Drosophila melanogaster: one gene and its partners. The protein of the gene in region 4 binds, or shares a complex with, the protein of the main gene of each other region. Each region holds a gene or a part of one and is shown on either strand. Other genes may lie near its edges. The genes, in order: eIF3d2, eIF3j, eIF3f1 and eIF3e.

The links.
Region 1: eIF3e (region 4) and eIF3d2 share a complex: the UniProt entries of both Drosophila melanogaster proteins name them as parts of the eukaryotic translation initiation factor 3 (eIF-3) complex.
Region 2: eIF3e (region 4) and eIF3j share a complex: the UniProt entries of both Drosophila melanogaster proteins name them as parts of the eukaryotic translation initiation factor 3 (eIF-3) complex.
Region 3: eIF3e (region 4) and eIF3f1 share a complex: the UniProt entries of both Drosophila melanogaster proteins name them as parts of the eukaryotic translation initiation factor 3 (eIF-3) complex.

The regions. Positions count from the first base shown.
Region 1 is NT_033777.3:12,190,760-12,196,770, forward strand, and holds eIF3d2 (eukaryotic translation initiation factor 3 subunit d2), read right to left. Parts: upstream 4,253-6,011; 5' UTR 4,194-4,252; coding exon 3,201-4,193; intron 3,124-3,200; coding exon 2,461-3,123; 3' UTR 1,944-2,460; downstream 1-1,943. Other genes in the region: CG43450 (uncharacterized protein), read left to right, coding at 4,582-4,728. UniProt on the Drosophila melanogaster protein: mRNA cap-binding component of the eukaryotic translation initiation factor 3 (eIF-3) complex, which is involved in protein synthesis of a specialized repertoire of mRNAs and, together with other initiation factors, stimulates binding of mRNA and methionyl-tRNAi to the 40S ribosome.
Region 2 is NT_033778.4:9,966,711-9,972,423, forward strand, and holds eIF3j (eukaryotic translation initiation factor 3 subunit j), read left to right. Parts: upstream 1-2,218; 5' UTR 2,219-2,509; coding exon 2,510-2,525; intron 2,526-2,750; coding exon 2,751-2,842; intron 2,843-3,030; coding exon 3,031-3,144; intron 3,145-3,208; coding exon 3,209-3,497; intron 3,498-3,561; coding exon 3,562-3,698; intron 3,699-3,763; coding exon 3,764-3,826; 3' UTR 3,827-4,187; downstream 4,188-5,713. Other genes in the region: CG12133 (uncharacterized protein), read left to right, coding at 555-1,102, 1,167-1,641; CG12134 (uncharacterized protein), read left to right, coding at 4,684-4,711, 4,767-5,713. UniProt on the Drosophila melanogaster protein: Component of the eukaryotic translation initiation factor 3 (eIF-3) complex, which is involved in protein synthesis of a specialized repertoire of mRNAs and, together with other initiation factors, stimulates binding of mRNA and methionyl-tRNAi to the 40S ribosome.
Region 3 is NT_033777.3:4,710,939-4,715,811, forward strand, and holds eIF3f1 (eukaryotic translation initiation factor 3 subunit f1), read right to left. Parts: upstream 3,245-4,873; 5' UTR 3,148-3,244; coding exon 2,305-3,147; 3' UTR 1,944-2,304; downstream 1-1,943. Other genes in the region: smash (smallish), read left to right, coding at 1-147. UniProt on the Drosophila melanogaster protein: Component of the eukaryotic translation initiation factor 3 (eIF-3) complex, which is involved in protein synthesis of a specialized repertoire of mRNAs and, together with other initiation factors, stimulates binding of mRNA and methionyl-tRNAi to the 40S ribosome.
Region 4 is NT_037436.4:16,783,299-16,788,619, forward strand, and holds eIF3e (eukaryotic translation initiation factor 3 subunit e), read right to left. Parts: upstream 3,644-5,321; 5' UTR 3,536-3,643; coding exon 3,446-3,535; intron 3,352-3,445; coding exon 2,959-3,351; intron 2,873-2,958; coding exon 2,048-2,872; 3' UTR 1,944-2,047; downstream 1-1,943. Other genes in the region: CG9706 (uncharacterized protein), read left to right, coding at 11-1,414, 1,580-1,753; CG9674 (uncharacterized protein), read right to left, coding at 5,112-5,245. UniProt on the Drosophila melanogaster protein: Component of the eukaryotic translation initiation factor 3 (eIF-3) complex, which is involved in protein synthesis of a specialized repertoire of mRNAs and, together with other initiation factors, stimulates binding of mRNA and methionyl-tRNAi to the 40S ribosome.

The DNA of each region.
Region 1 (6,011 bases), on a different chromosome or scaffold from region 4:
ATTTAAATATATTATATTGGGGTAACTTGAGTGAGAAAGTTTTACGAATTTTCATCTGGAAAAGAGTAGCAGGGCTATCAGGTTCGTCCTGTAAAAAGAAGGGAATATTAAAGAATCTCCGATTTGATATATAAGTAATATTTTGATTTTACGATATATTTGATTGCTTTGGGTCTCCCTTTTCACTTCAATCCATACCTATATTAATAGCCGTGGGCTTCATCCTCGATTAACTGACTTCTCGTGGCAAACTTTTACCCAGACAAATGATATTTAAATGAGCTGCATTTGAAAAGTTAACGGTGAATGGAGCCCAAAGCAAATGTCACAAAATTGACAGGATCTTTCGAGAAGGAAAGACAAGAAAAGAAAAACTGGCACAAGTCGGCAAATTAAATATGCCAAAAGGCGGAGGCGAAATCCGAGCTGGCCAAAAGAACACAAAACTTTTGGCTTACAAACATTCCTAAACTCTTCAGTCCGCCCCCCGAAATGCGTGACCCCTGGCACCCGGAGCCCCCTGATCCTGGTGAACCCAACCAAAGTCCAAAGATGGCAAATCCGTTGCTTAAACGGCTAGAGGGCCTGGGGCCAAATGCTTTGGTGGCAACTTAAAGTCGCATTTGGTTTCCTAATGCGGCTCAGACGGCTTCCGAGGCTCCAGCTACCATAACCCCATTTCAGCGAAAAAAGCGAGTGAGGCAAATTGAAATGAAATTGAATTTAGTTGGAGGTCGCAGGAGCTGAAAAAGTTGACGCGGGTGTGGCAGTTTTATTTACAACTATTCCTCATGTGATGTGATGCTGGGAAAATGCAAAAGAGTTTAATTTGCAATTTGTCGCCCTCATTCAACGCTTAACTTTTCACTCGGGCGGTGTTTGTGGTTGCATATGCAAATGCCTTGGCCATCTAAACCCATACCTCAGCCCACTAACCCACACCCTGTGTTCTGGGCTCTCCGGTCTGTGTTCTCCGTTACCCCGGAATGGCCCGCAGCCCTGCATATGCGATAAAATGTACAAAGTTTTGCGTTAAGGCCCCACTTGAGTTGGGCTAGGAGTTGTTGCCGCTGGCAAGTGCCCTGGCCAACCCGGCCTGCCAGTTTGTTAAACGCCTTTCAACGGCGTGGTTAGCCAAGCGCAGACCTTGAAATGCCACGCCAGTCCTGGCCAGAAGCCGAAGCTACAACTGCAGCTACAGCTAAGGCTAAAGCTGGTAGCTAAAGCCGGTAGTTGCCAGCTGGTAGTCGGTAGTCTGTACTCCGTAGTTGGTGGTACATGGTAGCTGAAGCCACTCGAGCAGCTAACCAGCCGGAGCCAACTTTTCTGCGGCAAACGCTTTAAAAAACCAGTCCGCAATAGTCATTTCGTAAGTTGGTCCTGCAGGCACACACACAGGCACACATGTTGATTTAGCAAACAAAATGTTTTAATTGAATAACACTTTGGTGTTTCACTGCTGCTTACTGGCAAGATCAAGTGCCTTTCCGGCCAACTGTGCGTATACTTGATGTGCACACATATACATATGTATGTGCTGCATTGTGAATCTGTGCACTGCCACATAATGGACCGACTTTATCAATCAAATTTGCCGCAGGCAGGGAATTAAAATTAATCGGTTTCAATTTTCATTTGCGTAAATTCCCTAAATATTTTCACACACTTATTTCACACCCAGGCATCATCATTTGCTCATCCTGTCTGGGGAAGAAAGGGAGTGCAAGCCTATCCATGCAAATTGAATAGGTCTAAATTCAATTTGGCGCTGAACAAAAAGAAATTGGCGGACGGAGAAACAAAAACAAAAATGCGCAAAACATTTTGGTAATTTAGTTGAGCGATTTGCATTTCCGTTGGGGAATAATTTCTGCACTTTTGTGCTCACTGACTGCCCAAATTGAATTGCCAAATAACAAAAAAGGCAGGATGCATATGAAATTCGAGCACATATATGAATTTAATTAAATGCTGTTGAATACGAAAACATTTTGCTTAAATTGTCGCACGCCAAGCACCACAGCAGCATCAGAATTTGCATTGATTGATGCCGTGTTCGGTGATTTATTGATCCTGAGGTTTGTCACCCAAACAGCCCTTCACCCATTTCAGCCCCAGTTCCACTCCCCCGCAATTATTGTGATTGTCAGTCGGTAATGGCGGGGGATGTTCTGCACAATGCATATTTATTTAGCCGGGTTTCATTTTGTATTTCTTGGAACCGCAGTGATTGATGTGGCCATGTTATCCTCAAAATAACTGTGACTGCACCCGGTCACCCGGTCCGTTGTTCACTGACATGTCAAGTGATGGCTCCGTTCATATGTTGTGTTTGGTCAAAAACTCAATTTAAATTGCATTTGTGTTCACTGCGCATCTGTCAGCATGTGTCGGCTTGTCTCGTCCGTCGACGGATCCCCTTGTTCGGAGAACTATTAGTTGAATAAATTCGTGAGGGCGTTAGTTATCGTTGGAGTTACTCAAGGGATCGCTGGACTCCTCCTCCTCATCGCCGTCGGAGTCGAAGGCGTTTTCCGGAACGTCATACAGACGGATCATCGGCTTGTTGGGATCCTTCATGATCAGATACTTTCCATCCGGTTGCCTCATCACAAGGTCAATTAGGCAACGCAATACTCCCCAGGCATTGTCCATGTTCAGGTTGATTTGGGTGGCGAACTCCTGCGGCTTGAATTGCTGTGTGCCAAGGATCACGTGACGCAGGTGATCACGCGGATTCATCCTGGACACATAGCCTAACTTCAGTTGATCGGAACCAGCCAGCACAGCCTCAACGGTCCATCGAGCTAGCTTACAAGCATTGTTGCGCAACTCGGAGGCCAAGACTGCACCGCGCTGGGTGTCCAACTTCTGGCGCCACTCCACACTGTTGGTCACCTTGGAGTCCCATTCATTCAGCGCCTTGATCGAGAGGAACTGCACGTCCCCATTGGGTCCTTGGATAACCCCATTGTGCTTGCAGCGAGCAATCAGCACCACATCGTTGCCCAGATCCCACTGACGGTAGCGATAGCCAATGGAGGCAAGATCCACGCCTGGCTCCTCGAACGGATTGGGCTCCTCAAACATGAAACGTGGCTCTTGGTCGCCAATGCGAAGAACCTTTTAAAAATAAATAACATAAGATTTAAAAACGTACAATAACAAATAACATAAATTGAAACCTACTGTAAACCTACCTGCTGGCTAAAGTTGTGATTAATTAGAGTGGCCTCCATTGCCAAGCTATGTGCCGAATTGATGGAACCCTCCTCATCCATCGGAGGTTCTACTGAAGTCTCGTTGACAGTCAGCAAATCAAATTGATCATTATATCTCTTATCTAAGAACACCTTAGTGCCCAATTTCTCGACTACCACATCCCAAGAGTAATTGGAGCGTGTGCAGCACATTATGGTGGACAAGATTTCGTCGGTGGCAAAGACATTGCCCATGGTCCTCGAAAGACGACGAATAACCGGATCATCCGTGGTCGTCACGGTGTGCACAACACGATCCATCTTTTGCAATGGTTTTTCATTGCGTAAGTTGACTCGATCGTATAACTTATCATAAAATTCCAGCCATCCGCAGGTGGCAATGTCCTTACCATCTTTAATATTGGGAAGTGCCAGCTTGAGAAGGCGTGGAAAATCAATCTCCTCGATCGAAACCCAATCCGATTGCACCATCACTGAGCTCTCGCGGATTCTGGTGGGAGCATTGCGACCGAATCTGCGACCCATATTCTGCGTGTTGCGTGTATTGCGACCCTTTCCGTACTTGGTGGTACTGGCAGTTGCGCCTCCAGCCGTGGATCCCCCGAGACTTGCTATATTCGGAGTGCCACGCCCCGTGCGACCCCTGCTCCTCACATTGTTGCGCATATTGGGTCTATAGCGTCCCCGCTGATAGGGCTTGGTGGCCTTCGATCCAGTGGTGTCCACCAAATGGAAGGTGGAGTCATCGTCCTCGTAGAAGTATGCGTACTGACTGTTGTTGCCAAAGGTCGAGGCGTATTTACTGGGGAACTTCTTCTCGGGCACCATCGCAGTCCAGTCGCAGATCTTGCCCAGGCGATCACTTTTGCAGAACGGCTGGTAGGGCACATCCAATTCGGGTACCTCGCAAGGACCCCAGCCGTGCTCGTTGTACTCCACATAGGGCTTGATAAAGGGTGCGTAGTTGGACATAATCACGCCGAAAGATGTTTAAATAACCAAGAGCAAGTATTTACATTTATGTGATCCGGTTTTGTCGAGGTACAAATTACACTGAGCTGATTTCGTATGGCCGGCTTGACAGCTTGGGAAAATTTTCCAAGCCCTACGTTTGGATAATGTTATAATATGAAAAAGGCGGTTTTATCCATTAAGGAAATAACCGAATATCCAATCTTTAAATAATTTTTGATAGACAACTAAAAAGATTTCTTCAAAAGCCTATAGTAAGTAGATTGAAGCCTATTGTGAGAAATCAAAAGATACCAATTCCTCACAATAAAAGCTCAGTCTTATTTGTATTTCTAGTCACACCGAAACCCTATAAACTACACAAAGTGAGAAGTAAGACGTTTGGAGAATGAATCTTAGGAGGACGCCCTGCCCCCAATTAAACACCACCGCAACCACAATGAAGAAATGTGTAATTGCCTGTTCGTCTTTCGGTTCTCCGTCAACGTCGTGCTGCTCTCATTGGCCACGATTATTCTCATCCTCCGCATGGTGAGCTGATCCAGGATGGGCGCGGGGATCCCCTTCCAGCCGACAAATTCTTGTTTCTTATTATCTTTTATAAAAAACCCTCACTAAGCGCACAAATAAATGTTTGTTGAGCTGTGGAAATGGTACAGGAAGCGGGGTACTGTGACGGGATTATCACTTGACGACGCATCTAAGCTCACATCGACATGACTCCATTCATATGACTCCAACTCCAGCACCATTGTTCTGACCCAAGTATCAGGAAAGCAAAGGAACAACAGCGGAGTGCACTACAATGGGACGAGTGTCCTGTGTGCTGGATCTGGTCAACTTGGCTCAGTCCTCACTGTGTTCCGGTTCGGTTTCCTTATTCTTGGCTGGGAGCACCTTACAACAATCTCGTTAAGCGTAAAGGCCAAATTATAGTAAAACTAACAGAAGGCAAAAGGTAATCACATAAAAAGCTTGTTAGATAACAACGTGTGAGGCGGCGAAAAAGGAAGCGGACATCCTGCACTCCGGCTCATACCCAAAAAGCAACATGTCGAGCGTGTGAATGTGCCTGAATGTGTGGAAAATGATATGGGTGCGAGCGGGATGACAGTGGGAGTGCGGTGCCTCCGCCCCTCTTCCAGCACCCAGATCCTGAGCTAAGCTTTGTCAAGCGACAGGGTGTCATGTTGATGTGTATGTCACTGGCAGCTGCTGCTTACATGGCCCGGCTCCAGATTCCCTCGCACTTCTCTGTTGATACACTGCGAGAATATGAAGAGATAATGTCAAATGTAAGAATAGAAGACCAAGAATGCATACCAAGAATATAATAATGGGTTCTGTGGAGCAATAACAATGGGAACTTATTTTGACTGAAATAATTCCTATTTTACCATTGAATTGATTTCAGTGTAGCCATAAGCCGTGGATGAGTGTGCGTCTGAGTGAGTGTATGTGTGTGTGGATTATAATTGCCATGCGGCTGTCAGTGACTGCAGGCGGCGCCTAACTGCACACAGCTGCAGATGTGCGGCTCGTGTTGCAATATCATTTTTAATGCAAACCGCATGCCACATTATGCAGCTGCATTGCCACGTCACCGCTGCGGTTTCTCCATCCCCATCCGCCTTCCGCTTTCCAACCTCCGGATTTACCCTCTCATCTCCAGCTCATCTGCAATCGCTCCTGCCGCTGAAGCTTTTCTTCTGCCACTGCCGGTCTTGTAGGAAAAAGCGGTAGCGGCTTGGTGAAAGGAACACAGCCAAGAATAATGCCCTGGCACATAAGTAAGTACTTACCCAGCGAACAAAAGCA
Region 2 (5,713 bases), on a different chromosome or scaffold from region 4:
AGGCCATTATAATTAACCCAAGGAAAGTTGTGGATTGGACATCGTGCCATGAATCATTTTAGCAATCGAGATAAGCTTGAACTTTTAAGACCAACTGGCTTTTGAATTCAGTATTCGGTTAGGCTTTGACATTTCAAGATGGTCTCGATCCATTTTTATTTGGCACTTTTGCTTCAAGCGATTTCCTTGGCGAATTCTTTCCAATTTGGTAAATAGTGGCAACTACAATACAATATACATATCTACAATTTCATCGGATCAGTGTCAGTGTTAAATATATACTTTGGCAGCTCACGGATCTATTTTTGGTCTCAACAATAATTAATACCTTATAATTACAAAATTGGAACTTCATTGGGTTGATTTCGCTACACAAAACTATAGTCTTACCAGGAAAATGCAATCTTTAATAGGATTTCATACAGTGTTACAAATGCTATTTTCGGCCATTTTGAGCTCCATTAATTGGTCAATTTTTGTTACCCCCCTTAGCAAAATTCAATTTTTGCCGACTAGACGAGATTTGCATCCCACTGAGCAAATGTGAACCTCTTATGAAGATTCTACATCCCCGGAACATGACAAACGATCAAAAATCACAGTACCGGAACAAACTATGCAACATTAATCCTTTTGCCCACGAGCTAGTGCACATGGTTTTTACCTGCTGCCCGATGGTTGCAGGGGATAAACTACCAGATAGCAGGGTCTGCGGACAGAGTCCTCCTTCGTCATATATCGTAGGCGGCATGGAGGCACAGTCCAACCAGTTTCCCTGGACAGTCCTGCTGGGTTACGAAGCCTACACAGCAAAGCAGCGACCGTCTCCCATGTGTGCGGGCTCCTTGATCGCCAGTCGCTATGTGCTGACGGCAGCCCATTGTTTGAATGTGAATGACTTCTACGTGGCACGTGTGCGCCTGGGCGAGCATGACACCGAGAACGATCCCGACTACACCTGGCTGCCGAATGGAGCCAAGATATGGGCTCCAGCGCACGTGGACATCGATGTGGATCTGAGGGTTCCGCACGAGCAGTACTACACGAGAAATGGAAGACACTACAACGACATTGCTCTGTTGCGTCTGAAGAGTCGGGTGAAGTAAGTAGTGTGCTCTTTGGGGTTCCCTCTTTTCACATTTTCCCATCGATGTCCTCTCTTTCAGATACACTCTTCAGATCAGACCCATTTGCATTTGGCCTGGCATTGAATTGTCAACTTCCTCCTTCAAAAACTTCCCTTTTCAAATTGCCGGCTGGGGCGATTCGGGTCTGCAGCAAAAAAGCACCGTACTTCGCCAAGGCACCATCAGTGGAATGAGTCCGGATGAATGCTTGAATCGGTATCCAACACTGCTCGTCGATAAGGACATCCAGATATGTGCCATGGGATGGGATGGCACCGACACCGGACTGGGAGATTCCGGTAGCCCGCTGATGGCTTCGGTGGGCAGGGGTGCTGATCAATTTTATTACCTAGCCGGAATAACGTCCTACGGAGGGGGACCCTCCAGTTACGGATATGGGCCAGCGGTTTACACGAAAACTTCCTCATATTATGAGTGGATAAAGAAGAAAATCAATGATATCGCTGAAGATGAACGTAAAATGAAATACAAATCTGTAAGAATACCAATTTAATTTAACGTTATTAAAATGATACTTTTTATGCATGCAGAAATGGATGTTGTTCTTTGTTAACAAAATCGCCAAAACAGTCAAGTAAAGAAAGTACACAATTATCTTTAAAACCGTTCTTGGGACAAAAAGCCACATTTAACATGATTATGTTAAAAACAGATGTAACCATTGAGAATTGCAGACGTTTGACATAATTCACATTTTGCAAACAAATCCAGATCTTAACTAGACCAATTCTAACTCCAATAAGGATGACTTAGCCTCTCAATCGAAAGAATTCCTCGACTATAAGATAGCCTTAGTCAGCAATTGGGGAGTTCGAGGTATATAACGACACAGCTAGTTCTTCTTATCAAGAACATGCTTATGTATGTATATACTCTCTACTATATATAATTTATCGAGTCGAATCAATTTTCCTTATAACTCTAAGAGTAAGTTTCTTAGAACACCACGAAGAGGGAGATTTATCACGAATTTTTTTTGAAAAAAACTTGTAGGGTAACTCAAATCTTTAAAAACTTAAAGATTTCTTAACAAAGTTGACAAATTTGTGTTTGAAAATAAAATAAGCAATCTTACAATCAAGAAAGGAAAAAAATGAAAAATGAAATATTGTAGGGTAACAAATTTCAAATTGTCGATAACTTGATATCACCTTGGCCGCACTACGAATATTCGATGGCAACAGACTATCGGCGACGTTACCCACGCATTTTCCGCTAGTCGCGCCTTGGGCACACTACAGATCCACAGAAATTTGGTTTTGGAAAATTCCTGAAATCGCTGCCGAGGCTGGAAACAAGTCGATCCCAGCACCATCCCATCCAGAAGCACAAATCCCGCAAGCAAATAGGCAACCATTAACATGGCCGACGATTGGGGTAAGTTGCGATTGGCCTGGGCGGAAGAGTGGGCGGTGCGTCATCTGCACGGCGGACAATAAACGTGGTCTCCGTCGTTGTTGTTGTTGTTGCTGCTGCTATTGCTGTTGTTGTTGGAGTGCCGTGCAACCAGCCTTGATGAGTATTTTTAGCCACTGTGCCAACTAACCGTTTGAAATCATTGTTATTCACCATGTTCCTGGAACTCATTCTGTTACCTGGCAGAATCCGCAGCAGACAGCGAGGTGGTCATCCGGCCGACTGCCGCCGCCAGCGTAAACAAGTGGGAGGGCGAGGACGAGGATGAGGACATCAAGGTGCGACTAACGAAATCCAAGTGAGATCGAAAGCAGTGCCGCATTCAAACCAACTATCCAAGTGCCCAACAACAAATGCCATGGGCCAAAACTTGTTTTTCTGCACTCGGTTTCACTTTCGTTTCGCTGTACACGTGTGCACTTTTGCAGCAGACTGATCGAATCATTTGTTTATTTGCTGCCCACAGGACAGCTGGGAGGATGAGGAGGAAAAAAAGGACGAGGAGAAGCCTACGAAAACAGAAGCACCAGCCAAACCGAAGCCAAATAAGGCGCTAAAAGCCAAACTGGAACAGCAGGCGGTGAGATAAGGCTCAAAAGCATTTCTCAATCATTGGCTATATTGTTATCATCTGTTATTAACAGCTCCTAGAGGAGGAAGCGGAGGCAAAACGTTTGGCCAACCTATCGCCTGCAGAAAAGTTGGCTGAGAAGCTGCGATTGCAAAAAATCCAGGAGGCCTCTGATCTCAAGCATGCCCAGGAAGCGTTCGGTGTGACGAGTACGTGCGGAGGTCTTGACGCCTTCAACCCCGAGACCAAGGAGGAGTTCAAGGAATTTGGCGCAACGCTCAGCTGGAAGGTGGGCCAATTCCGCGAGTCGGAGCACTTCCCCCAATTTGTTGAGGATCTGGTGCGCAGCCTATGCGTGAATCGTGAGTGATTAGCTGGCTGACAATTAAAGACGGCTTATCTGATTTGATTTCGCACCTTATCTAGTGAGCGCTGCTGACATCAAAAAGGTCAAGATGAACGTGGAAATCTTGCACTCGGAAAAGCTGAAGCTGGAAAAGGCCAATGCTAAAAAGCCCGCTGGAAAGGGCAAGGGCAAGGTCACTCTCCGCACCGAAAACGACGTGAGTGTTTCAATCGCCGCCGTTCGAGATCAACGAATGAACTTATTTAATCCGCTCTTTTGCAGGACATTGACGGTTACCAAAAGTACGGAAATGACTTCACCGAAGACTATGACGACTTCATGTGAATAGGATCTATAAATGTAGCCCGCATATATCTAATTATTGAATGCATAGTTGCTTGTTGAAGAGTTCTTCTTGTTAGAGATGCTGCGCAGGAATAAGAGTCCTTTGTTAAATATAAAATGGCAGAACCTATATAAATATGTAAATATATATTTATATAACCATACATAACACAAAACGAGTTACATAGTCAAGTCAGGCAATCAAGAAACCTCAACGAACACGCAAATCCAACTCCAAACCGAAAGAATATTTAGGCAACTGACTTATGGCGACAGCACATGTATGTAGGTCGTATTCGGAACGGCTTCTTGTGAAATTCATTTTTGTATAAAGAATAAAACTACAGATCGATATTAAACGAAAACAAAGAAATCTTGCTTATTGTGCTGTATGGGTGGGTGTGTGGTACGGGTGTACAAGTATGATGGTGGAACTGTTGATGATTGACAATTGAGTTAATTATAGGTAGCCGCTTTTATCTTACCATTACCATGAACTTTTCAAAGGAACCATAATTTTTAATTTATTTAAAACGATCACAATGCGCGCCGTAATTTGAAGGCGCTTCACTGTGAACGGCTTTGTTTGCATAGCCAAGAAGAAGCATCGCAAGGTGTGGTGTGTGACTTGGCTTCAAAATCATATTATTGAAGTAGTTAAAAATAAATTCAGTTGTCGAATAAGTGGATTTCGTCATAAAAGAAAGAGTGCTGACGCATTTGAAGTGCACTCTTATCCCTTTCAACTCGTCTATTAAGTATTCAATGTGTCTTCAGCCCAAGTTAGCTTAAATCTAGCTGAATAGTCAGCACTGTCGTCATTTAATGCACGTGCGGCAAATTAAAAATAGACAAGAATGAGCGACTTTAACAAATATTGCGAAGGTTTTATTAGCTATAAGCCTGCCAAGACGGCCTGATTAATCCGTACATCCTGCAGAAGCTGCGAGGGAAGCGCTTCCGGACTCGGAAGACGAGGAAGACATCGGCGATGAGGACACTTGTAGCGCACAGGATCTTGCCGCCGAATTCCAGCTGAAGTACAAGCCGCAGGACGAAGTCAGTGTGTCCTTGCAGCGTGAATATGTTCTTAGCCTGGCCGCAGATCAAGGATTCTCACGGATGGCCGCCGGACTGTCCAATTCAGCAGTGCATATCTATAATTTGGATTCGGGCGCCGGGAAACTGGAGAACTTTAGCTATCTGCCGCCCACAGATTCGCCGCAGAGCGTAAGCATCTGTGGCGTTCGTTTCCTCGACGAAGGACCACACAACATCCTGGTCGGCACCACCGATGGCTACGTGCGCCTCTACGATCTGCGGCTAAGAGGCGAACAGGCGCGGTTCAAGTACACGCAGCACCCTAATGTGCCTCCGGTGCCCAAATCGCTTTCGTGCTTCGACAGAAACGCCAACGGTCGGATTATTTGCTGCGGCACCGAACAGTTTCACAGCAACGCGTTCCTCGTGTTCTTCGATGTTCGGGAGCGCCAGCAAATGGGCGTCTACTTCGAAAGCCATGAGGACGATATCACCTCGTTGCGGTTCCATGCCCAGAATCCAGACCTTCTGGCCACGGGCAGTGTGGACGGGCTAGTAAACGTGTTCGATGTGAAGGAGCCGGACGAGGATGAAGCACTGCTTAACACCTTCAACACGGAGAGCAGTGTGGCCCGGTTGGCGTGGCACAGAAACGTCTACGACAAGGACATCATATCCTGCGTCACGACCACTGGCGATTTCAAGAGCTACGAGTGCGAGGAGGGCGACGAGGTGGCATCCTTCGAGCGGCCGGATGTTACGGCGGCAATAAGGAGAAAAAAAGCCGCAAACTTCAACCTGATAAATGCCCACAATCAGGAAGACGGAGGAGTCTTTCTGTTGGCG
Region 3 (4,873 bases), on a different chromosome or scaffold from region 4:
TACCACATCAACTGCTTCAAGTGTTGCGTCTGCCACGTCCAGCTGGGAGATGGCCTCAATGGAACCGATGTCCGGGTGCGAAACCACAAGCTGCATTGCCAAAACTGCTACTCCAGCGATGACGGCATTAAGTTCAGCTGCGTCTAACTGAGCCCTCGCCATGGAAACGGAAGTGGATTATTGAATAGAACTGGGGTTGTTGCTCTGTTGCTTTTGCAACATTGATTGTTGTTGTTGTACTAGTAATACATAGATATTAAATAGAGATGATAATTCGTACGTTCACATATATACAATACATATATCTACATATGTTGAGAACAAAGTCAAATCCAAAACGTTTCAGATTAGTGTTAATCGCTTTAATATGCTTCCCTACGAAATTATGTAATGTTTTAACTCGGATTTAAAAGTTTTATACAACGCATTCTACATGTTATAAATCAAACTCTATACATTTTACATGTTTAAATGCCAAGCTCTCTAACATTGTAACAAAGTAATGTGTGTTGAAACTTAAAAAAAAAACCAAAAAAAGGATTAACTTTAAACGAAGTGTTAAAATTTTGAAATTGTTTTGAATTTATATTTACACCTCTACTCTACACATCTACACAATCTACTATTTCTATCCGAAAATTCGCTTTTAAATTAGTTAGTTTCTAACTTTTTGTACCCGCTACAGCCCACTTAAAATACCTAACGACGCATCCAATGTACCTAAAAAAAACTATATACAAACACCCATCCACACGCAACTCACTAACATAATTATTATATACATACCCTTAAACTTGCATGAGGTGAGCATATATCGCGAAAGATTTCATTTCTTATATCCCTTATTTTTATTTATTGTAATTTCGCATAAAGTTGAAAATTTGTATATTATATACACATCTTGGATTGTATGATTAATTTTTAAACATGATCGGTATATGAATAATTTTTCTGTATAAATACATCAAAGAAGATATAGTTTAGTTTTTTAATAAACTATTTCAATGAAGAACTATTTCATATTTTGATCTGCAGAACGCTTAAAGTTAAAAGGTGTATGGTATGTTGGTGGTAATACTTCAATGACTAGGAGATACAGTCCTTCAATGATGAAACAATCATTTTACGTTTCTGAACTTATCATTGTTAATTAAATTGTTCTAAAATGTATAACTTACCTGTCCTGTCGCATTTCCGACAAATATGCTAACAAAGTGGATGTCAATTCGACATGCTTAATAAAAACTTACAACTGAGTTCATAAATTTTTGGGAGGAACCAGTATCTGCTAATGTAACACTGTAACTAATGTTATTGATTTAAAAAAAAAACTTCCGCATTCTGAGATTTAAATTTCGCCCAAAAGTATGCATTACGAATATATTTAAATTGGCCACACAAACTTTCATATGAAAAGTTTTTTTTTTAATTAATTTATATATTAAGGCATACGGGGAAATCTTGGAGCCCCTTTGTGTCCTTCTTTCATATGAAAAGTGTGTTTTTTTATGCTCTTTAGAGTACCTTTTATTCTTCACCAGGATCAAGAATCAGCGCAGTCGATCTGGCCATGTTTGTCCGCATGAACGTCAAGATCTCATGAACTATAAATGCTAGAAGATTAAGGATGCAGATTGCACAGAAAAGTGTAGGCGTAGCTCAAGTTTATCCTGGTGCTACCAAACAATTGAAAGTTAAGTAACGCATATGATGCAACGAGGTGCTGGTTATAAAATGTAAGAAACTAGTTTTTAATAGAATGTGTTGTCATATTTCGTCACAAAATTTGATATTATAACTTTTGTGTGCCGAAGGTACGATCATCAAAGTTTGATATTAAAGAATATAAATATTACTATTCTTACAATAAACCCAGCACCGATGCGACTCCCTGAAACCCTATAGAATAGTGAAGCTCACCAAAGACTGAAACACAACATTTTGTTTTAGCAGTTGGGTGCTAAATTTTCAGTTGCACATGCATTTATTTTGTTCCTGGTGATGAATACTGTTGTGTTTAAGAGTCTTCAGTAGATTCGAATGCTCCTACAAACGCCACATGGTCGTTTAGTGTAGGTGTCACAGGATTCATGCTGATTCTTCAATTGAGTTATAAAAAAGATAATCCCATATATATTTTCTTTAGTATGGAATGTCATTCTGACCAGAGTAATCGATACAAGTTTTGGTTTTTTTTTTTGGCGATCAGAGCACTTTATTACGTAGACCCCCATTGATAAAAAACACAATCAGTTTACAATGCCACCCTTAGTAGATATTACCACTTCAACAAACGCCGTCGTTCTAGGCGGTGGGCAGGAAGGTGAGCTTTTCGTTAAGCTGCAGCTGGGTTTTGATGAGCTGGGAGAGCGTGATGACCAGCAGAAGGTTGCGTACGTTGGCGTTGAACATCTGAGTGAACTGCTCGTGGGTCATGTGCGGCACGGAGTGGATAAGGTCTAGCAGCTGGCGTCCGACGGCGTTGTCGGGGGTTACCTTGTGAGCGATCACGTCGTCAACGTACTTGAGAATAAGATCCAGCAGGGACTGCAGCTTCGTGGAGGCCTCCGAGATTTGGGCCAGGTCCAGCATTGGCGGAACGGTCTTGGGACGGTGAGCGGGCGAAACGCCTACGGTCTTCTGAAGCAGCTTGAGCCCAAATGTCTCCGGCTCGTAGCTGGTCAGCTCGACAGGAATGGGCGTGAACATGCAGCCGCTCTTGCCGCCGGGAACTCCTAGTTGAATGCAGACATAAGCACGCAGACCCATACGTCCGCCCTGCAGCGAAGTGTCCACGGTGAGGTGAACCGGGTTGTTGCATTCGCGGGCGTAATACTCGTGGATCACCGAGCTGTGGTTGGTAACGTCGTTGCCGGTGGCCCACCAGCCTACCACGCTCTCGTTGGAGTTCACCTTGCGGTTGAGGTCGTACATGTCCAGGGCGTAGCTCAGCTCTGCCTCCACCTGGTCATCGTGCTCCTTGTGCGGCACACAGAAACAGTTGGTAACCTCCACCACACCTTTGTCCACAGAGCCGAGCAGGGTGCCGATGACGCGGTGCGAGTCCGCGTTCCGCCGCTCGAAGGCGTCCACCACCTGGAAAAGCACCACCGGGTGCACGCGCACGGTCAGATTGAGAGCCGACATGGTAATTTTCGGTGGCCAAGATTTGCAAGGAAAATTTCCGCAATAATTTCTATTCAGCCACGCTGCGCGTATGTTTTAGGGATGCAAGAAAAGGGCCTATCGATAGTGCGGGTGGGGGTTGATGGCTTTTGGAGCTATCGGTGCGGTCGTGCGTGGCCTATCGTTTTATCGATGTAAAACCGGTGGCTAGCGTTAGTTAATCAAATACTATTCAAATTTGAATATGTCGGAGATGCCAAGCGCGACTTTTCATTTACTTCAGCGTCCATATTGTCCAGCACATCAAGTCGCCTGCGTGTTGTTTCTTCTGTCGTTCTAAGCAGACTAATTTACTCAAGCGTCGCCTTCGCGATGCTTTTCTTCTATTCCTCACCTTCACTCAATTATTTCATCCTTACTTCGTTTCCAGAAACTATACAACAACAACAACAGCCACACAAATGATGCCCACTCAATAACGGAACGCTTTCCGTGAATTTCATTGCTCGCTGCTCATTCTTAACATAACGGATCAATAACAAAATGTCGGTTACATTCTACTACTCAATCTTGCTTGTGAAATTTTGCTGATCAAACGTGCTTAAAGCGAATTATTAAATTTAATAAAATGCCTGGAAAGAGATAAACTTTGAAGTTACCCAATTAATAAACTATAACCACCAGTTGGGAAAATCTTTTCCAGAATAAGTATAAATGTTTTCTGTATCCCGTAAGACCGTCTACTATTTTTTAAAAGGCTCGGAAAAAGAGGACAGGCTTGAACCTAAGAGTGGTGGTGGGCGGAAAATTAAAATTAAAAAGCGTGTAGACCGCTTTATTATGCGAATAGAGATTGCGAACCCCCGGTCAGATCACTTGCTCTGGATATCAGGCAAGAGTGTCACCTAACTGTGTCACACGAAACTGTGCGCCAAGTCATCCTACGCCATAGATACTCTTCAAGAGTTGCGAGGAAAAATCCTTTGCTATCAGATGCCAATATGGAAAAGCGTCATTAATTCGCTGTGAACAAGGTGGATCATCCAGAAGAGTACTGGGATGACGTCATATTTGGTGACGAAACAAAAATTATGCTCTTTTATAACGACGGGCCAAGCAGAGTATGGCGCAAACCGCTGAGTGCGCTAGAAAAACAAAATATCATTCCAACGATAAAATTTGGAAAAATGTCACTGATGGTTTGTGGCTGTATCACCAGCCATGGAGTGGGAAAACTAGCCTTAATTTAGAGCACAATAAATGCCGTGCAATATCTAGGAATCTTAAAAAACAAATTTGAAGGCCGGTGCAGAAAAATTTGGTCTAGTTAGCAACAACAAGCCAAATTTTATATTTTAAGAGGACATGATCAGAAACATAAAGAGTGCAATGTACGCACCTGGCGCCCTTATAACTGTGGTAAAGTGATCGATACGCCCCCTCAGAGTCCTGATCTGAACCCCATTTAAAATTTGTGGACCTACTTAAAGAAGAAGGTGGCAAAAAGGGACCTAAAACACGACAACAGCTTATGACTGTAATAGTCGAAGAGTGTGAAAAGATCCCGTTTGAATATGACCTGCAAAAACTTGTCCATTCCATGAAAAAAGGGCTTCAACTTGTAGCTAAAGCCAATGGGGAACATACTACATACCAAAACTTTTAAAATTTTAATAAAATAATTTAAAAATTTAGGATTAAACATCGATTTAGTGTTTTGTGTAAAGAGTTTCTTGACAGTCTCAAA
Region 4 (5,321 bases):
TTTGATCAGCATGTCCGCCATAAGGAGAAAGCCAACGGGCAGCAATGCCGACCAGGAGTTGCTCATCGACGAGCCACCAAAGTCGGAAAAGGTGGCGGAGCACCAGAAACCAGATATTCGTGGAGACCGGAGGAATATAGCCATACTGCTGTTCCTGTACGTTCTACAGGGCATTCCCATCGGGCTCATAGCAGCCATACCAATGTTGCTGCAAAATAGAGGAGCTAGCTACAAACAACAGGCGGAGTTTTCATTCGCCTACTGGCCATTCAGCTTAAAGCTGCTGTGGGCTCCAATTGTGGATTCCCTGTACATCCGGCGATTTGGACGCCGGAAATCGTGGCTAGTCCCAGTGCAATACCTTCTGGGAGCCTTTATGTTACTCCTCTCCCTCCACGTGGATCGCTGGCTGGGCGGGAACGGTGTCGATCCCAATGTGCCGCTCCTGACGCTGCTCTTCTTCCTGCTTAACTTCCTGGCTGCCACTCAGGACATCGCCGTGGATGGCTGGGCCTTGACCATGCTGAAGCGATGCAATGTTGGATACGCATCCACCTGCAATAGCGTGGGCCAAACAGCTGGCTACTTCTTGGGCTATGTGGTGTTCATTGCCCTGGAGTCCAAGGATTTCTGCAACACCTACATAAGAGACGTGCCACTCGAGGATGGCATGATCACATTGCCCCGTTTCCTTTGGTTCTGGGGCATTACATTTGTGGTAGCCACTACTTTGGTGGCAATTTTCAAGAAGGAGAACGACATCGAAGACGCGCATATGGACGCTCGCTACACGGAGGAGCACGAGTTGAACATCCATGAGAGCTACAAGATATTGTGGGACATGGTGTGCATGCGTCCCGTCCAAATTCTGGCTGTAATTCTGCTCACCGTGAAGGTCACGTTCGCAGCCTCTGATGCAGTGACCAGCTTAAAACTCATTGACGCTGGTGTACCGAAGGATAAGCTGGCTTTACTCGCCATTCCCCTAATTCCTCTGCAGCTCATTCTGCCGCTGGCGGTCGGTCGATATACGAACGGACCACGTCCGATGGACGTCTATCTGAAGGCCATTCCCTATCGCATCATCATGGCAACAGTGGCCACTGGCTTGGCCTACATCACACCCTATATTGTCCGTGGAGGAGCCGTGCCTGCTTATTACTACGTCCTGCTGATCACCAGTTATGCCATCTACCAAGTATTCCTGTACTCCATGTTTGTGGCCGCCATGGCCTTTTTCGCCAAGATCTCCGATCCAGCCGTCGGTGGCACTTACATGACATTTTTGAACACATTGTGCAATCTGGGCGGTAATTGGCCCAACACAGTGGTGTTGTGGTTGGTGGACGTGCTCACCTGGAAGCAGTGCTCCAATAATGCGGAAAATACCTGCCAGGGCAAGGAGGAGCAACAGGTGAGTGCTCAGAGAGAGATTCTACAGCATACAAGATTATTATTATTATTGTATATGGATACATATGTATGGTGAAAGTTTTACCCCAAACCAGGAAAAGATAAACTTTGCCAGTTATGAGATAAAAGTAACTAAACAAATATTTTTCTTAATTTTCTCCCGCAGAGCTGTGAAGCGTCGGCTGGCAAGTGCGAGATAACCTTCGATGGGTACTACTTGGAGTCGGGCATTTGCGTTCTGTACGGCATAGTGTGGCTGCTGCTGGTGCGCAAATGGATCGTTTACTTGCAGGACCTGCCCGTCAGATCCTGGTTGGTGGTCAAGCAGAAATCGCGGTAGCAATCAATAGTGTGATCCGGGGCCAGATCGTCATAAAGATCCAGCACCCACTTGTAGGTACAAACAACTAATTCTAGGATTAGCAGACGTTTGCATTCTGTAGGCTAGCGAAATTACAAATTCCCGCCTTGGTATTGTTTTTTGTATAACTAATTTTGATTCCGAAGGAAATAAAATCAAATGTTGAATTGAGCGAATGAGTAAGATGTTAATTTATTCGCTCGACTGCGCGCAATCATCGGTTTTTAAAGGGTACAAAGAGTCTTAACTTAATTGTGGATAAAAAGTCAGCAACTAGTAGTACTTCCAGGAGTCGGCCGACTCCTGATTCTGCTTCTGCTTGCTCTTGCGCTCAATCAAACCTGCCAAATGCTCCGACCGCATGGACAGCGAGTCGATCTTCTCCACCAGCTGCTGATAGGGACTCAAGGGCTGGGTGCCCATCACCACATGACCCAGTTTCGAATCGATCTTGGCATTCAGACGGGCATTGCGGATAAGGTTGACGATCCAGCACTCAGCCTCGTTGGGCTTCATGTTCAGCTTATCGGCCAGCATGCTGATGGTGATGCACTGGTGGATGCGGCAGAATGTCTCGAAGATCATCAAGCGGGCATCCTCCACGAACTCATTCAGGCAGGCCACGATGAAGAAGTCGTTGAGGATCACCGTCTGGCACTCGTGCAGCTTCAGACGCGCTCCCTCGAAATCAAAGTTCACGTACAGACACTCCAGAAACTCGGTGATGGGATCGCGGTACGTGTACGACTCCTGTTGGATCACCTTGATCAAATCCTTTAGAGCATTGCGGCGGGTGCGGTTGATGACTACGGCGGTGGCCAAGTAACGCATGATGTGCGGACACATTGTCTGAATGGCGTTCAAATACAGGGGCTTGTACAGGAACATCTCAATAATGAGATCGCGTCCCTTGGGGTGATTGAAGAAGACCAGGACCGACCAGTGGATCAGCCAGGTGCGTTGCTGCAGGGCCTGGATGGTGCTGAAGTTGGCGTTGTCAATGTAGTCGCGCAAACGCGTCAGATCCTCCAGAGCAGTGTTCCAGTTGAGGGTCAGAATCTCGGCGGCCAGCTTGCCCCACAGCACATTAAGGTAGTTCTGCAAAATTTGGGAGACAATATCAATTAATATTCTTGTTTTAGTGGTTTTTGCCGCTTTTCATGTTAATTTAGCTCCATACGCACCTTGTCGTTGGGCGACATGACGATGAGGCAGAAGTACAGGTAAGAGGTGGACTCCTGATAGTTGCCGCACTCGTAGAGGTACTTGGCCAGCTTGTAGGCGCTCTCCAGGTGCTCCACCTTAAAATTGTAGTCCTTCTGAAGGGCGTTGACGAAGGTCTTCGAGTCCTTCATGCTCTCACCGTTCTTAAGAATGTCGGTGGCCTTCATGATGGGTGCCACCTCGTTCTGCAGCTGCTTAAGCGTGGCCAGGACCTCCGCCTTGCGCTGCACGAGCTCCTCGGGCATCTCCTGGCTGAGATTGAGACGCTTGCGGGTGTCCATCGTGTAATCGATCATGTTCGTCTTGTTCACCGTCTCCAAAATGTACTCCAGCAGCTCCTGCTGGTTGTAGATCTGCAACGAAAGTCACACATATGAAGATTTCCCATAGTTATGTACTGGTGACTCGGCAACCGCCAGCGGAGCACCGCCTGGTCGCTTTTCTAACCTCCTTGCCGCACAAGAACTCCAGCAGCGGGAAGGTCAAATGCCTGTCCAAAAACTGGCAATTGATGCGTGTCAGATCGAAATTGGCCATGATTGCAGCTGTTTTACTATGTTTTCACAATTAAATTTACACGCAAAATCGGCAGAAAAATACGCGTGCGAGGGCCGACAGTGTGCCCAGAGACGAAAAGAGTGACGCCCGCTCAGAGTTACCAGAGTGTGGTATTTCCACGACATTAAATACCATGACCCTGAAGCCGTATTTTTTTCAAGCTTTCAAAGTGGCGCATTTATTTAAAATAAAATTAAGTCATTGAAACAACTTTCAAAAAATACTCAATTTTCAAAATTTCTATTATCTTAGCATGGCTATTATAGCAATAAAAAATTATTATTTCAATTGTGGCGCCCAGACTGAAACCCGGTCTGGCATCACGGCGAAAAGAGGTACTAACGCCAAGACCTTTCCTGGAGGACGATATCTTCTGTCTTCTTATCGTCAGACTGGACACACTGGAACTTCAGCTCCGCTCGTAACAAGCTTACGGCATAAAACAACAAGATATTGTACTTAGTAATTAAATAAAGCGGTAACTACATAAGTTACCATACAATGAATTTAAAGAAATATTATTAAATATTTTCTACATTACAATGGTTTCTCATTCCTTTAAAGTTATACGCTTTACGTAAAATACCAATAATTTTAAATTACAAGGTATACATATAACAAAGGTTTTTAATTTCAAAAAGACGTTGCCTCTCTTTTCAAGCTATTAATAAATATATTTCCCATGCCAAATTCAAAACACAAATATCAACTCATCGGAGAAATGCTTTTTAATAATTTGAATATTTATTTCATCAAATACTTGCACATAAATATATTTATATAGAGATGTCTGTATAAGGGTATACATTTGGGTTAAATATGTTTTGTATAAATTGTGTAATTCTTTGTATTCGCACATTCAACTGCCAAAGAGCAGATTTGTTTTAACAATAGCCACTTAGGTACATTTGCGGTCAACGGTCGAATGCAGTTCAAAACACAAAAACAACATCTAAAAAATGCGTTTCGATATTGGCCGAGTTTAATACATTTCTCTTTCTGTATATACGATTTATGGATTGTATATAGGATGGTGGAGATCAGCATATCAATTTTCACTTCATATATTTCGTTTGCATAGATTAGGCAACTCAAGCTAAAACAACATTGAAAAAATGCATTTTCTAAATATTTAATGTTCAATTAATTTTCATTTTAACGATAACGGTAAGTTTCTAGTTATTGTCCTTAGATTTTTTGTTGGATATTCGATTTCCGTTAAGATATACATATTGATTGGCTTCAATCAGAATTTCAGTTTGCACTCTTAATTGACTCCTGCCGCATCATCATCATCATCATCATCATCATATGGAGGGCATCTCGACGAACCACTAACAATTCCCAGCCAGCTTTGCGATCAAAATAAAACTAAATGAAACGTGTTTCGTTTTGGTTTGGTGTGTAAAAAACTCAAGTCTTTTTAGTGTAAACTAAACTAAAATCGCGAAAATAAAAATCACAAATCGTTAAAGAATTTCGCACTATAGGCTAAGGACGATGCACGCACACAAAACTTGATATTAGCTGCTCTGGCTGCCTCTGTGGATCCTCTTTAGGATGTCGCGATGACGCCACCAGGTCCTGGAAGCCCACTGGGACGGCCGGTCAGATAGGAATCGACCTGTCGTGCGGCCTGGCGACCCTCGGTAATGGCCCAGACGACCAGCGACTGGCCACGCCGGCAATCTGCAAAGGACAGAAGATAAATTAACATTTTTGTTATGCAAAGATACAGAAATCATTCAATGATTGATGTGATTAA